2 linked regions of the Tamandua tetradactyla genome follow. The protein of the gene in region 1 purifies or fractionates together with the protein of each later gene. This does not show direct contact. Links are inferred from orthologs where the notes say so. Each region holds a gene or a part of one and is shown in the gene's direction. Other genes may lie near its edges.

What was found.
Region 2: the proteins of MLF2 (region 1) and DNAJB6 purify together in Homo sapiens (affinity purification with mass spectrometry; 3 studies listed by BioGRID and IntAct, with this or other methods). This does not show direct contact. The link is inferred for Tamandua tetradactyla from reciprocal best matches to the Homo sapiens genes MLF2 and DNAJB6.

The regions. Positions count from the first base shown.
Region 1 is NC_135333.1:69,053,810-69,061,972, reverse strand, and holds the start of MLF2 (myeloid leukemia factor 2), read left to right. Parts: upstream 1-4,726; 5' UTR 4,727-4,807; intron 4,808-5,224; coding exon of another isoform or gene 5,225-5,770; intron 5,771-7,269; coding exon of another isoform or gene 7,270-7,311; intron 7,312-8,163. Other genes in the region: PTMS (parathymosin), read right to left, coding at 1,456-1,506, 1,681-1,742, 1,900-1,978, 2,218-2,289, 5,225-5,770, 7,270-7,311.
Region 2 is NC_135327.1:203,494,612-203,503,296, forward strand, and holds the start of DNAJB6 (dnaJ homolog subfamily B member 6), read left to right. Parts: upstream 1-5,453; 5' UTR 5,454-5,715; intron 5,716-8,685. UniProt on the Homo sapiens protein: Has a stimulatory effect on the ATPase activity of HSP70 in a dose-dependent and time-dependent manner and hence acts as a co-chaperone of HSP70. Plays an indispensable role in the organization of KRT8/KRT18 filaments.

The DNA.
Region 1 (8,163 bases):
ACTCATGATGAGCTAGGCATCATCCAGGGCACTTACAGGCAGAAACTCCTGCGATCTAATATCCCTCATTGTACAGATGTTCAAAGAAATGAAATCCTTTGCCAAGGTCAAACAGGGTGTGTGTAGACAAAAGCTGAGTGCATGCGTGCAAGTACAATCCTGACCCTGACTTGTAGGTATCTTCTCATCTTCCGGAAGGTTGGTGTTTCAATGATTCAATTTCACCACACCCCCAGCACAGACCCCTAAGCACTCTGAGGCTTCCTCCAACCCAGAGGTTCTCAACTATGAGGAACCGACAAAAGTGGTATAGAGCTGGAGCAAAACTGAGAAGGAACTACCCTGGATCTGAGAGGGAACATCTGCTCCCCATCCCCAACCTAGCCTGAGGAGCACAGCTGGGAGACTTGGAGGGTGGGTGGCAAGGCAGGTGGCAAGCCTGGGAACCACGAGAGGCCTGGAGTCTCTCCCTGCTTAACTGGAAGGAGCTCACTTCCTCAGTGCCAGGCAGAGGACATCTTTGATGCCAGGCAGCTCTCACTCTGAATCCCAGGGGCTGTGACCCAGACCTTCAAGCCCTCTCCCACTTCAGGGACGGGACTTCCTGTTTCTGGGGCTTTCTATTTGCCTGGTTCAGCACAATAGAGCTGATAAGCTTTCCACTGGGCTCAGCAGTGTCTAGATCGTATGTGGGTTAGCAGGGAAGTGTGTGTATTGCTGGGAGGAGCATCCCTAAGAAACCAAAAACAGGACAGAAGTCAGCTCTCCAAGGTCTGGAAGCTCCCCATCCATGGGGCGTGCTGATCGTGGCTTCTGGAGTCAAAGGTGGTAGGAGTGTGCCACTGCTCTTACACAGAAGGGAGAGGTCCTGACAGAATGTGAGGTCAACCATCCCTCCTCCTCCACTCTTTTGGGTGCACTGGTGTGGCCCCGGGAAAGCAGGAGACAGGTTAAAAACAGAAGCGCGACCGTTTCTTTATTAAATTATACAAAAAGGGGAGGGGAGGGGGGCAGCTCTGGGGCTCGGCCCCAACCCCGGCCCCACCCCGGCCTGGCGCTGTCTGAGAGGAGGGGATCTGAGGGAGACCCAGGGATCAGGCAGGAGAGGGATGGGGCAAGAAATGAGGCTGGGGGATGCAGAGGTGGGTCGAAGCTACTGGAGAAGGGATGGACTTTGCTGGGAGGAGGGGAGAAGAGATCAAGGAAGTCAAGAGGAGCAACTGGGGACCAGCTGGGGCGCTCAGAAGAGCAGGTCAGGAGGTGGGACAATGGCTAGTGAGGACAGATGGGTGGTGTCTGAAGAGGTGGAAATGACAGGCTGGGGGATAGATGGGGGTGGCCGCTCAGGTGTGGGGCCCAGAGCAGGGAGCCAGGTGAAGAGCGGCTGGGCTTGTCAGCTCCCATCCCACCTCCAGGCCCCGAGGGGCCTCCCACCCCAGCCCGTTGGCAGGGGGCTCATGCCGATGCCCCATTTTCTGTCTTCTGCCGCTTGGGATCTGCTTCATCCTGCAGAGAGGGAAGAGTTGGGGGCGCTGTAAAATGGGAGAGGGGTCTCCCCCTGTTCCAGCCCTACTCCAGCCCCCGCCCGGGCCACCACAGGGATCTGGGTCCGAATCCAGAGAGGTTCCAGCCCCTTCTGTATCCCTGACAGCCCCTCAGGCCCCGCAACCCAGCCCAAACCTCCTCTTCAGCAGCTCTCTTCAGCGCGGGCCCTTCGTCATCCTCTTCTTCTTCTTCCTCATCTGAGGAGCCAGAAATGGGTCATTGGGGAAGGGCAGGAAGCCCCAGCAGAGACCCCCTGAGGTCGCCCTCTGCCCTGCTTCAGGTCTTCGAGCCCACCCTGACTGTGTTCTGTGCGGACCTGCTTTTCCCGGCCCTGCCACTCCTTCCCCTCCCCACCTTCTTCTTCCCCTTCATCCTCCTCCTCGCCGTCCTCGGCAGTTTCTTCTTCTTCCTCCTCAGCTCCGTTCTCTTCCTCCTGTGGGGGCCAGGAGAGGGAGCAGGGTCAGGCTGGCAGTGGGTTCCCATCCCATCCCAACCAGGGGCACCAGGTGAGTAAAGGACTTGGGAAAGGCCTGAGGGTGGGGCAGTGGGGTGGGAGGGGCCAAGGAAAGGCAGAGCCCAGTAGCCCAGGAAGGTAACTGTGAGGAAGGGTGAGACCCCCGGGAGGGGGGCAGCTGGGAAGGTGTGGCCGCCTCCCGCCTGTCCCCTCCGCACCTCCACCACCTCTTTCTTTCGCTCTTTCCGGCTTGCCTTCTCCTCCACCTTCTCTTTCTTCTCCTTCAGGTCCTGTAAGGGAGAGAGAGGTCACCTTTGAGAGCCACACATGATCTGCAGCCCCCAACTCCCTCCAGCCCATTCTCTGCAGGGAACTTGGGGGAGAGTGGAAGGGAGATTGCAGCCACACTGTAGAGACGGAACAGACATGCCTACGTTAGGGCCAGTAAAGACTGAGCCCAGAGACCTCCTTCCCCAAGACCAAAGCGGGCAGAAGAGAAAGTCTTGAAGCAAAGGGGAGTGGGCAGCCAAGGTAACTGATTCCCACCCCCATCAAGTTTTCTTCCAAACCTCTCTGGCTGAGAGTTCTGCTCAGCAAAGCAAATCCCCTCCATCTGCTTGCAGCCCTCAGTGCCCTACTCCCCCTTGATGTCCCTCCACCTCCTTTGCCTGCCCCCTCCCACAGCCTGCCCAGCACTGCCTTTTGTCTACATTGGGGGCCTTTTCCTGAGTACTCTCTCCTGGGCTCCCTCCAAACTACCCCCTCCAGCTTCTTCAGCCTTTGTTTCTCTCTCTGTCTCCCTAATCCTCATACTCTTACTCAGCCAAACACCATAGGAATAGGGAGAGCACCCCAGCCCAATTACCAATACCCCTCTACTTTTCCTCACCCCTACCCCCAAACAGCTGACACAAGGCCAAATAGTAACCCCCCCCCCCCCCCACTTCCTGGCAGTGTATGTGGGAAGGGAAAAGTAGCCTTTTCCAGTGCAAATGCATGAAAAATAGGATAAAAGGAACGGAAGGGAAAGAACATCAGCCATGGAAGACGAAGAGAGAGAGAAGAAAAAAACAAGGCCCATGTCTGAGGTGGGATGGGAATGCAGACAGGGAGGTCCCCATTCGGAGTATCCTCCCAGCCTTCCACCACTGCCCCCTCTCCTCCAAACCACAAGATCCCAGCAGGCAAAGGCCTGATGTTCTATTCTGATGTGGCAGAGGAGGTCGATGCTCATGGAGAAGTCCCCTGTGGACACTGCACCTGCCCTTCCAGTTCAGATTCCAGTCCTCTCCCCGCCCCACCCCTTGGCAGGCACCGAGTGACACTGTGGGTGTCCCTGTGTGATCTGATCTGGTGTTGATGTGCAACTGCATGTATCTGATTCCTTGTGGAGGGAAGTTTTCTGTGTGAGCAGATCGCCCAGGGCAAATGTGTCCTTTCTGGAACAGGATGGGGGATAAGAAAGGGATTAGTAGATGACAATTTGCTGGCCCGGGGGGACACTCAATTCCCTTCCCCTGTAAGGGGGGGGGGGGGGCAGCACAGAAAACTTCACCTTCTCTCCCCCACTACATTTCTTCTTCATCCTACTTCACTGTCCCCATTTCTTTGCCATATCATTGGTGTGGCACTTCTATTCTGTGGGCTTTTCCTTACCACCTGGGACAGAAGATCCTGGAGCTAGTCAACCTCTCTCTGGGGGGCCCAGACCTCTATATTGCCCTGGCCTGAGTTTGTTGTCTGGGCTGATGGAAGGAGGGGGAGTGCAAGAGAGGGAGGGTGAATACCAGAGTCCAAAGTCCAAGGGGCCGGGATCTCTCCTCCCCTGACCTGTCCTTCTGGTCACTGTCCTTCTATGATCCCCCTTCCAGAAGGGTATGTGACCTAAGCCCTAGGTCTTGTGCTAATCAGCTCTCTGGCCTCATTTACTCAACACAGGCCCACACACTGACACAGACTGACACCGATTCAGAAGAGCAGCAATGGATAGCGCGCCCACACAATCTGGAGACACATGGCCCGGTGTTTGGGCATTCTGGCACTCACTCTGGAGACAGCACCAGAGCACAGCAGAGCCACTTGGCACTCACAAAGCAGCAACATAGCTCCAGAGCATGACATCTCCACATGCACACACGTAAGTGACACGGGCAGTCCCACACGCTTGCTGGATTTCAGACATACAAAGACACCTACTCAATTAAGTCACATGCCACCACACACACTTATACCGAACCGGAGGGCCATCCAGGCACACCTTGTGCGATAGCAAACACACCCGTCTCCCACGTTTTTAATCCCACAGGTTCTCCCTTTTTACCTCTAAGGGCTCGGGGCCGCCTGTGTGCCAGCTCCTCACACCACCCCCCTACACCAAGGTCGGGCCCCCAGCCCCCAAACCCCGGCGGCATTAATTTCCCAAAGCGACACTCCACGCGTCCCCTAGGGAAATTAGAAGGCGGCAGGAAGAGAGGCAAGGGCAAAGGTGCGGAGCCGGGCGGGGAGCTCATGAGGTTAAGGGCAGCTCCAAGCAATGCCGAGCCTCAGCTTTTTCGAAGGCTATGTCTGCCCCTCTTCGAATTTTGTAGGAATTCAAGATTCTTTAAGTCGGGGGGAGTGGGAGCAAACGGAGAGAAAGGAAAGCCAGTGGAGGAGAGGGAATGTGTGTAGACGGAAGGAAAGGAGGCAGTAGCTATCGGGGGAGGGAAGCGAGACGGTCGGGCCGCGAGGGGAGGGGCCGAGAGGAGTAGCCTCCCGGGAGAGTCCTGTTTACACTTGAGGATCTCAAACCGCTTAGCAGGAGGAAAGGTGAGGTCAGCATGGAAAGAGACGGAAAACCAGGCGCGGGATGGGGAAGAGCAGGAGAGGGAGCGCGGTGAAGTGAGCCGCCGAGAGCGCCGACGGGAAACCAGACGGGGTAGAGGGCGGCAAGGTTGGGCCAGGCGGCCGAGGGGTGGGGACCGCGGCGGGGCCGAGCGCCGACTCGAGCGGCGAGGCCGGAGGCGCGGCGCGCGCGGGGAAGCTAGAGGGCGCTGGCGGGAGCCGCGCGGAGCGGGGTCGGCAGCGCCAGGCTGGGGAGCGGGGGGGCAGGGCGCGGCGGGGTCCGCCGGGACCTGGGCGCTAGGGCCGCACGGGGCCGTCGGGGGAGGCCTGGGGGCGGAGGGCAAAGCCGAGCGAAGCCCGGGGACGCGCGGGGTCCCGGCCTGCCGCTGCCCCCGCCCGTACCTTGGCGCTCAGCTCGGCCGCTGCCTCCACGCTCTTCTCCGACATGGTGCCGGGGCCGGGGCCGGAGCTGGCGGGGAGCCGGGGTCCCGGGGCCGGGACGAAGGAGCCCTGGACGGCGAAGAGTGGCCGCGGCCGGAACCTGGCGCGGTGGCGGCGGCGACAGCGGCAGCGGCGGCCGCTCAGCAAGCTGGGTTTCTGGAAGAGGCGGCAGAGGCGCGCGGGGTGGGGCGGGGGTGGGTCTGGAGCGGAGACCCGCAGGGCTGCGGCCGTCCGGAGGGCGGGCGAAAGGGCGGTGCGGGCGATGGCCGGCGCGCTCTGGCCGCGGTCGCTCAGTCTTCGGCTCGCCACCCACGCACCAGCAGAGCTGCCGCCGACCAGCCGCTGCCGCCCCCGGGAAGAGAACCCGCTTATAAGGCGGCGCTGCCCGACGGGAGGGGCTTCCCAGGGGTGGGGCAGGCTGGAGCTGGGAGGAGAGGAGAGGGGAGGGGAGGGAAGGGGAGGGGGATGGAAGAGGAGGTTGGAGAGGTGGGGATAGGAGGATGAAAGCTAGGGGAGGGAGAGCGAGAGAGGCGGGAGGGAAGACGGGATCGGGAGGGGGAAATCGAGAGACTGACAGTCGCTGAGAAAGAGGAGTGGGGCGCGGAGGTGGGAAGGGGTGGGGTTCCTGCAGGGAGGGATCTCTTCGAATCCTAACCTACTGCCTGCGAATGTAGAGTCTATCTTTTGAGGGCGGGCTGGAGGGGTGGCTAGAGTCCTACTGACCCCCCAAAACCCTGAAATTTTGCCAAGGGGTAAAGGGAAAGGCAGGGCAGGTATCTGAAAAAACCAAAAGCTTAAAGAAGAGGAAGAGGGTGGGAGAGCTACTTCCACATCAACGCTGGATTGCCCCTCTCATCCTTGGTCTACATTATCTCGTGGTGGCCTTGAGAGAGGATGGGAGCGCAGAAAAGGCAGCCCACCCTTCTTTCTCTCCCGAAACTGACATTCGGCGGTCCTCCTTTCCTGGCTCTTCCTCGGGATCGAAGGGCAGTCCGAGGACCCCCAGTCTCCTTTGCTCGGCCCACCTCTACCCGAACTTCCACCCCTCTCACCTCAGTTTTCTTTGCGTGGTTCTTCTATTTTCTTCTTCCCACTTCTTTTCTCTGTTCCCAGACTCCCTCCTTTACCACCATTTATATCTGTATCTTATTCTTCTATCACCTCCTGTCCTCTTCTCCTTTACCCTCCCATCTCTGCTTTCTTTCCTGTTCTTGTCTTATCTGACTTTGTCACCTGGCCTTTTGACTGATTTTCCTCAACTCTTCATGTCCCTTCCTCTGCTGCCATCTTCCCCAGGCCTTTCTATGTTGTATTTGCCTCCTTGGCAAGGGGTCCAGGTTTGGAGGTCCAGCCCCCACCTGTTTCACACATGCTCAGCTCCTCAGCCTCAGCCTCCTGGGGTCATTTTGAGAAGCTTGGGATTTCAGGAGAGGACAGGGACCGAGGGGGGGGGGCATGTATTAAAGGTCAGGAAGGTGGTTGAAGTAGAAGGCATTCTGAATTTGTCACCATCATTATACTTCATCTTTATCATTTCCATTTCTTAATAAACTTTGATCAATCATCATCATTATTTAGTATTTGCGTGCTTAAATACACCATCTTTTGATCCCTTGATGTACACACTTCCCAATTTCTCTTTAAGACTCTTCTGTTAGTTTCTAAGTCTCGGTCTCCTCAAAGATCTTTGGGCTCCACCCGAGTTTTTCCCTGCCCGACTCTGCCCATCTTTTCTCGGAGATCTTTCCATTTTCCTCTCGCAGTCTGTTTTTCTGACTCACTCGCTGATTCTTTAGTGATCTCTCACCGTCTCCATCTCTGTTCCCCTCTCTTGCTTCATTTCTCTTCTTCTCCCCCCTCCTTCGCTCTCCCCCCCCCCCATAGTATCCCTGTCTCTCTCCCTCCCCATCAGTCTCTCTTTCCTCTCCTCCCTGCCCTCCTTCCCCCTCCCTGCTTTCCACCTCCCAGCCCCGCCTGCGGTCTCGGACACCCTGCTGGGCTCTTACCCCGTTGTCCTGGTAACCGCCCCCCACTCCGGTCACCTCCATTCCCCTCCCCCCTCCAATCACCGCCACCAACAACCTCCATCCACCTTCCTCCTATTTTTCCTGAGAACCAATAGAAACCCTGTTGCCAGGTGGAATGCTCATTTGAATCAGCCAATCCAGAAGCCTAACTCCTTGCCCTGCCTTATATGGGGATGTGAGGAGGGCCACTCCCCCCACTCCAGCCCCATTGGGGACCAGCCTCTCCAATGTCCCGTCTCCCGGCCCTGGAGAGAGCTAGGGACCCTCCCTCTCACCCTTCTATAAGTGGCCTGGCCTCCCATTCCTCTAACTGGGACCATCAGGGTTAGTGTGCTGTGGGCTGGACTGTGGGCTGGGCCTCAGGGCCCGGGGGTGGGAATGAGGTGTGATCAGGGGAGGGGGGGCGGAGAGAGCCGGGAATTTTGCCCAGGGAGGGGTGTCTGGGAGCGGAGGCAGCTGCAGTGGAAAATTCCTGGGAGATGGAGAGGCAGAGAATGGGAATCCTGCCCCAGGGCCCGAGGGAGCTTCTTGAGAATCTAAGAGTGGACACAGGGGTCTTTGCACTACCTGGAAAAGATTGAGGAAGCAGGAGACTTAGGTCTAATTCCCTTTCTGCATGGGGGAAGCATCTTCAGCCTTTCCTGTCAGGTTGGACAACAGACCAGTCTCTTGAAATCTTGGCTTCAGGCAAAAGAAATCTGAAGTGAGACTTGGGATGAATTTGGAGTGAGTGGGAAGCTGAAAGCCTACCCTCATGGTCCTTGGGGTTAGTCTCTGGACCTCTGGGGCCAACAGCGTTAGATGATGCCAGCCTGTGTTTGCTCCTTTGTATAGAACTATTTCTGAGGCCTTGTGGAGGCTTGTCTATTCCTA
Region 2 (8,685 bases), on another chromosome or scaffold:
AACCTGGGTCCTCTGGCATGGCAGGCAAGCATTCTTGCCTGCTGAGCCACCATGGCCCGCCCTAATTTTTAAATTTTTGAATAAATAACATATTCACATAGTTCAAAATTTAAAACAACAGAAAAATATTCTGTGAACCATTTCATTTGTACCTCTGTCCAGTTCTTCCTGTAATCTCTTCTTCCCTAGTGCTTTGGATATAATTCCAGAGTTTCATACGCAAATACAAGGTATTTTTATTCTTCCCACCTTTTTACATAAAAGGTAGCACAATATACAACCTGTTCCTCCCTTTTTTTTTTATTTAGGAATTTATCTTGATAATAAGATAAAATGATTTCTAAAAATATATGTGTAGCTAGAACTGAATAATCTATAATACACTAAAGTTCTTGTTGTTATGTTTGACTAATCAGGAACTAAACTGACATTTTTAGTACAAACTCTGGGCAATTTGTTTTGAAGGCAGGAACCTAAAGTAAAGCACATATATATGTAAGATTCTTCAAAGGTCATGACATCTTGGATATTCTTTGAGATTTTTGATTTACATATATTCCTTTGAGGCTTTGAAGGCAGAATATTCATTTGAGAAACATATATGTATGTGAAATATCCCATTTCTCATATAATATAATGCCCTGTGCTTTCATGATACCTTTTATCTGAGGAGCTCAAAGAACTAATTATTTCCAACGCCTATATAGGTTACGTTAAGTATCATTATTTCTAATTTACAGATGGGGAAACTGAGGCTTGTTAGCTCGGTTAAAATCATAGCAACATCAACATTAAAGTTTTACTGGTCATTTAGGATGCATGGCACAAAAATAAATTCATGCACCACATCAACGTGGTAATTACTTAAAAACACCTATTTTTATTCTCTGGCCTCTGAACAAAAACTGTTCTTTTTCCACTCACCTGAAGAAGAAAAATATTCTATGAGCAATGTAAGTATTTGAAGTGTTAATGAAATTTTTCTCTACTCCTTTTTTCTTTTGAGAAGTCTAAACAATCTTCTCTAGTGCTTCACCTTTTAAAATTTAACTATGTATTTTAATCCCTAACACTCCCCACAATTGTTCTTCCAAATTCATCCATTTTCTCAAGGCCTCCCATATTGAGAAAATCTTGGCCATTAGAATTTCCACATCTTATCTGTTCTCTATCTTTTCTTTTTTCCTGTTTTTTTTAAAATTTTTTATTAATTAAAAAAATTACAAGAAACAAACATTCCCAACACATACAATCAGCAATTCACAATATCATCACATAGTTGCATATTCATCATCATGATCATTTCTCAGAACATTAGCATCAATTCAGAAAAAGAAATAAAAAGACAACAGAAAAATATAACAAACAGAAAAAAAAAAATTTACAGGCCATACCCCTTACTGATCCCTTTCATTTTCCTGTTTTGAAAGAAGAAGTGTAAATCCTCTTTTTCAAAGTTAGTTCCTCTATCCCTGTACCTGGTTCCATATCTTCATGCCTACTCTGGGACTTAACTCCTTTAACTATTGCTTGCTCTCCAGCATCTTCAATTCCATCTCTTCCACTGGGTCCTTTGATCAGAAATATGCACAAATATCTTAATGATAAAAACACATAGACAAAAAAACAGAAACAACAAAATAAAACCGCATAAACCAAACCAAACCAACCTAAACTCTAAGCTCCTGGAGAGAAAGAGTCATGTTTCTTTGATTTATGCCTAAAGTCCAGCAAAATGCTGGAATATAGTAGGTATTCAATAAATGAATAAATGAAAACATATTTCTCTTGCTTGTCCCACAATTTCATTTCAACTTCGTACCACCTCACATACTACATAGGCCTCTTGGATGGACTTTTGTCACTCATAGTACTTTTATAAAAATTATTCTTAATGGTTTGAAAAATAATAAAATAAAAAGTTCAAACACAAGAATCACAAGGAAAGGAAGAACTATCTGAAATCTCACTATCTAGTATAAGCATTTTCAGCAATTTGCTGAATATTCTTCCCAGTTTAATGCATGTGTATGCATATATATATATGCATAAATGAACACAATTTTGCAAAAATGGGATACTATACAAGCTCTGTTTCAGTAATGTATTTTAGATATGTTTTATGTCAATAAATATAACCACATTTTTTTAAAGGGCTGAGTGGTATTTTGCGGTAAGGTGGTACTGATTATTTGCAAAGTTGTAATCAACTTTGCAAATAAAAAAGACACCTTGTGTCTTTTTTCAAAAGCACATTTCAGTTTAAAAATCACCAAGCTGCAATTCAGAATGCTTACCCGGGGTCCCGAGACTGATGGATCCCCTCATATTGCCTATTTTTCTGGGGAGAGTCTATAATTTTTATCAGTTTTTCGGAGGCCTGGAACATAGAATGATTATTATTTAGAGTATTACTATGTTCCAGGAACTAAGTTAAGCACATACAATTAATCTTCACATCAAGCCAATTATCCCCATTTTACAGATTAGGAAACAAAGCCATGGAGAATGACTGGTCTCTACTTTTCTACACATTTTGCAAATCACAGATTTGTCATTGTTTGACTTCGATCATCTCATACCCTTGCTTCAACCTCTTCTATGTTTTCCCATCGTCTAGATGGTTCTCAGTTTTTATAACTTTCAATCTCTGTCTTTCACTATTCCTGTTTAGATGCTTTGCTTCAAAGCAGCTTGCTCACTTTGCACCTTGTTTCCTTAAGGTCACCAATTTCTTTTCACCCCATTTTAAATCCTTCCTCTCATAGGACTGCCCTACCTCAGAGTGATCATCTCCCTCTAAACTTAGTTTCCCACTAGCACCACCATTTGGCTTAGTGTTAATGTGAGAATAAAACCTTGACGCTGTAAGATCTTCTCCTTTGTTTTGCAAAGAGCTATTTAAATATTGCCATGTTATTTAATTTTGAAGGTGTTTACACCTGTTCTCTTCATCTACCATGTGAATTCCAGATTCCATTAGAGATGAGGCCTTGTTTTATACCAGTTGTTTTTTCTCATAATACAGTTCACTGCGTTAACAAGTGTTTTAATAAATTTTTGATTTTTTGGGGGGGGGGAGGGAGGATGTTATTTGTGGTTAGCCTGCACTTACTATTTAAAATTCACGTCTCTGTGCTGTCTGCATTTTAAGATTATCTCACACTTGCTGTAAGGAATTTATTTAAATGTGAAGTGTCAGATGATAATACTGTCAACACTTGAAGAAAAATAAAAGTTCATCAACTTGCTGTGGCAGACATGTTTACATGTGACAGTGCCAAACTGTTCATATATCTGAATGAAATTCCAGTTTCTGCTAAGATTATCTTAGGCTTTATCATGAGATGTCCAAACTAAATCAAATGTATTACTCATTTCTTTTGATTGGGAATCATAACCTACTAAAAAAACAGAGAATTGACTTTGATAAAAATATAAATATATTTTGATGATCATTTGCTAAAAACTACATATCAGGTAATACAATAAAGGCTTAGCAAAAACAAAAAATGAACAAAGAATATAAAGCAATCTTTTGTGAAATAGAAAAAGTAGAACCATGCCTACTTAACAGTTAAGTGTTCCAGATTCCTAAAACGGGTCATTAAGCAGCTATTATCAATGGAAAGTATAAAAAAAAAGTGCCTTTCCTCCAAGTATTTAAAGAACATAGGTGAAGGAGAATTCAGCATGTTGTTCAGTGTGTCTGAAAAACTGGCCACTGGAAATCAACACTAGCATATCTGTAGCACTTTAAGTTTGTGAAGTACATGGCAAAGAGCTTTTTTTATTTTCAAAGGAAACAATTAAGTGGACTAGGACAAAGACACCGAGGTATGAGACAAAGGTTTGGCTTGATATTATAGAGTAAAAACAGAAATCTGGACTAGGATTCATGGATTTAACTGCTCGTGGGCCTCACTGAACCTTGGATTTGTGGAGACTTTTTTCAGTACTTGAGACCACAGCATTTTTTATTCTTACAGGAATACTAATCAATAACTAATCATTAACTTCAAACTTCTTGTGTTGGGTTTTACCCTTAGAATCAGATTCCTTGCTGATGCAGGAAAGGCTTAGTCATGGCGGGACAGCCATAAATGCTCAGCTATCAAAACACACCAAATTGTCTGTAAACTTCAAAAAAATTTAAAAACTGCCCCTTATTATTTTGGGCCACAGCTTGCTTTCATTTCTTTCAGCCGCTTACTCCTTCGAGAAGCTTATAGGTTTTACTGCTTGCAAATCAATGAGTTAGGTTTCAAAGGGAATTTTAAGAAGTAATTAAGGTGATTCTCAGGAAGGTGACCGCAGCTTGACCCAGAAGGTCTGTGCCTAGTTATTCAACTTCTAACCGTGGCCATGGCCTGATTTTTTGTGTCCTTGACATGACAACACTAGGTTCTAGGTTTTTGCCTATATAACTTATTTCTGCTTTAGAGAAGAGTAACAGGGAAGGAGGCTGGTTAATAGTATTTGCACAATTTAAAATGAAGATTATCGGTAAAGACGGAAAAGTAAAATAACTATATCTTCACTGTTTTCAGGATACGGGCTCCTTATTTACTGCTAGACGGTTCCACTCTCACGTAGGTGCCGCATGACCTTTTAACAATACAGACTCTCAGGTGTCACGTCCAGGAATCTGATTCAGTAGCTCTGGGGGTGAAACCTCCCTGAACATGCATTTTTAAAAAGCACCCAGGAGGTTCAGACGCTGGAGCTGCATGCCCACGAGGGAAAAACCAGCGAGAAAGATCCCTTGTTTCTTCTATTCTAACCAAGACACCTTTCAACTTGGGGCTGGGTACTGTCATCAAGTTTCCTCTGGCCTTGCTTAGCTCACGATTTCAGTTTCGGCTCTAAAGGCACTCAGTGCTGGGACCTCAAATAGTTTTTCTTTTCCCTTCTTCCCCAATTACATATTCATTGCTCTTATTAAATTATAATCTCTTTGTGGGAGACTGTCCCTGGTGGTAACCCCATCCGAGTAATGAGCTCAGTGGCTCTCCCAACAATCGGTCAATGAATAAAGCACAGGGTACTTCAGCACAGCTGCCGGGTTCTCTCAATCAGACGCGGGTGAGGGCGACTGGTTTCCCGCACCCCACACCGTCACCTTGCAGAAGTGCGCCAACTTCCAATGTCCGTCTCCGCTTGCCCGCCGCCCTTAACCGTCACTGATTCCTCCGTGAAGTTAGAAGTGGGGAGAGGCCGTCCCAATTGGGGCGGTGCGTCCTCCTGAGCTTCTCAGAGAGGCCTTTCAGTGGCCCACCAGACTGAGGACACGAACCATGTACTCAAATCCGCTGTGGCGTTCCTCCAAGTCCACCGCATTGCAAAGCGTGAGACCCCCCCAGCACGACTCCCAAACCGGCAGATGGCGCTCGCTGGGGAAAGCACGAAGAATTTTCGGGAAGGCACCGGGAGGGGGGACAGGGAACGAGGCAGAAGAGGTTTTTAACCTCGTGGCAGCAACCGCAGCTGCGGCTGCCTCCGCACATTAATGGTCGGGCGGAAGTCGAGCGTCGCCGCGCTGCCCGACGCCTGACGTACTTCCTGTTTGTTGTTGGAGAAAGGGAGAGAAAGAAAAGCGCGAGGAATCGCTGCCACCGCCTCCAGCAGTACCAGCCGTGACGGAGCTGAGGGGAGACCACGGGCCTCGCCGCCCAGCTTCTCTTCCTTCCTGCCGCTGGCTGCCAACCTCCTCTGGTAAGGGAACGACCTCCCAGGCTGCGGGGGAGGTTTGGGGACGAGGGCACTGCCTCTGAGCCCCGGCTAGTGGCTGACTTGACCCGGCGCCTTAGCAACAGCATGTGTGTGGTGGATGACCCAGGTGTCGCGGCGCTGGCTGGCCTTTGGGAGTAGGGTGGGTTGAGGGAAAGGAATAAAGGCCTGACGATTCGTACTCGTTTCGAAGCAGTGAGCTGGGATGACCGCCCCGGAGTCGAGTCGGCGCCGCTTCTCCCTTCTCGGCCGGCGCTGCGGGCCTCTGGTGTCCTTGCTCCATACAGGGCTCCCTTCCTCCTCGGGGTTGGCGGTTGGGGGTGGGGCCCGTGCGAGGGACACCCGGGCGACGGCGGCGAGGGCCTGGGCTCCTGTTTCAGGCTTTTCTCTCTTATCCCTGTTGTGCGGAAACGTTGTCTCTCTCGACTTCTCTTTCTTTTCTCTTTTTTATCAATGGAAAGGGGTTGAAGGGCGAGGAGCTTTTTAATTTCCTTTTAAGCTCTTTTGTAGTTGACTCTGAAGCCAAAATCAGCCAATCTTTATCGGTTCGGAAAAGAGCAGAATTCATATGGTAGATAGTGCTGCCAAGTATGGAGCACAGGAAGCGGGTGGTGGGGATGCGAAAGCCCCCTTTATAGAACTACCGACTGATTTTTCCGTTTCTTGGTCAGCAAACGGCCTTTCAACTCACAGAAGAGGTTTATTTGCTTTGTTTCACTTAAAAACAAACAACAAACCCGTACTGTAGTTTTTATAAGGATAGCAGCTTTTGCCCAAGTAAGGAAAGAAGTTTCGTTGACACAAGAAGTGGTAATTGCAAACTTTTTATTATCTCGAAAAAGGTTTTTGGAGTAGTGTCTTTTTTTGTTGTTTTAAAAGATAATTTGATAGTAAACTTCATTACGCAGTTATATGGGGTTCTCATATAAACTAGAGGAAAGGAAATAGTGTAGAAGACTACTCTTGTCACCAAGAGGGACTAACGATAGAACTGAAGATTCCGGTATGTATGGAAAGAGCAGGCTAGCAACTGTTTGTATTTTCAGCATTTTATTTGAATTGTGAATTTGTAGTAAACTTCTATGGGTAGGATCTTTGAGGACAACTGATTGATTAGAGAAGTTAGACTAATCGGCACATACAAAAGAAGTTGAAAAACCTTGACTATTTGAATTTTGCTTGCTCTGTTCGCATGTAATCACAACTTTCTAAGGTACAAATCGGAAATGATAATGGCTTCTGAAAGGAATTAATTTGTTAATTGGCTCTGCATCTACTGCTCTACTACACTTCATTCTCTCTGGAAAGTTTAATCCATACTTTTTTCTTGTTTCTGCTATTGAGAATCTTCATCTCCTGTGGGGTCAGGAACTGTCTTTTATTTTAGGGGTCTGTAATAAGAAAATGAGTGTTCTTTAGACATACACTTCCTTTAATCCAGTCTAGAATTGTTTGGATTATGCAGAGTATGAAATTTGGGGAGTAAATTGACTTGATGTAGTAGCTTGTAGGTGTGGATGACTTGACAGGAAGTGGGAGGAGAACAAAAGGGATTGAGAAGGTGGTTTTTAAAAAAAGTCCTAGCTGGGCTTAGTGTGTTCCTGTAGGCAATGAGAAAGTTGGAAATTTAAGAGTATTGAGAGCATTTAAAGAATTTGAGATGACTTCAGCCCCTCTTCAAAACATCCATGTTTTAAAGTTTATTTTCTTTTGGATTTCAAAGTGTATGATTTGTGGGGTATTTCTAGTTTCTGGACAGAGACTGAACCTGGAGGGTTCGGGTGGGAAATATTGTTTGAGTAATAAAGTGAAGGCTAAATCATGGATATGAAATTACAGTATGATACTTGCAACTAGGTGGAATACAATAGCTTTCCTTTTTAAGTACACCCATTTTTTTTTAAGTGTTTAGAGCCAAAAGTGGATCCATTCTCCCATGCATTAACTTTATTTTGCACTGTTTCAAACAAATGTGATCGTACCCATCACTCCATTGACAGTTTAGTGGGTGGGATGATAAGCATTTTTTAAAGTTACCACATTCTCATAAAAGAGCACTTCAAAATACAGTAGGTCGTCGTCGTCGTTGTTGTTTAACTTGAACCTCACACATAGAGCAGAGCCATTTATTTGGTTTTCTGTAGAGCTCTGACTTAATTGAGATTTAAAAATTTTTTTTTATTGTATAGTATGACATATATACAAAGCAAAGAAAGAAAGGTAAATTGTTTTTAAATCCAACTTTTCAAGTTTGCATCTATATTTCAACATAAGGAATGCCATGTAAAGTATGATTGATATGATAGTACATATTCAACACCTTATTCTATTTTAAAGTTTTTAAATTCATCCAGGACACCCATCTAGTGGTGAAAGGCAGGTAATTGCAGGCTATTAGTGAATTAAGATAGGATTAGAGTGACAAGATAATAACAAATACTGTAGTTCTTCCTATGTCGGTAAATAGACCTTGAGAGCATTTCAGACTAAAAAAATTAAGGCTAATGGTGGTTATATGTGTTTTGTAAACTTATTTAGGGGGTGCTCATAAAATCACAGTTGAACCTTTTCGTGTGAATATCCTGCATGAGAGTGAAGTAAATTTTAAAAAGCCTTTTCTAAAGTCTGGGAAAATTAATCTCTAGAAAAATAATAAAAGTATACAAATTCCTAAAGGAATGCAATATCAAAGGAAAGAAGGCTCTGTGTTATTTATATTTCACATCTATTTCAAAAAGGATTTGGTCATAGCTTGGTTTTCTCATAAAATTTTTACTATGTCTATGTAAAATTCATAAGCAACCATAAGCTTAAATGTTTGTCTATCAAAAGACTCCTAGTAAGGAGTGGTATTTTAGGATTCTTAAGTTCAGTGACGAAGATAAATTTGTTGAAGGGTGATTTCCATACAGGGAATGTGATCTTACCCCCTTTAAAATTCTCTTACTGCCTTTT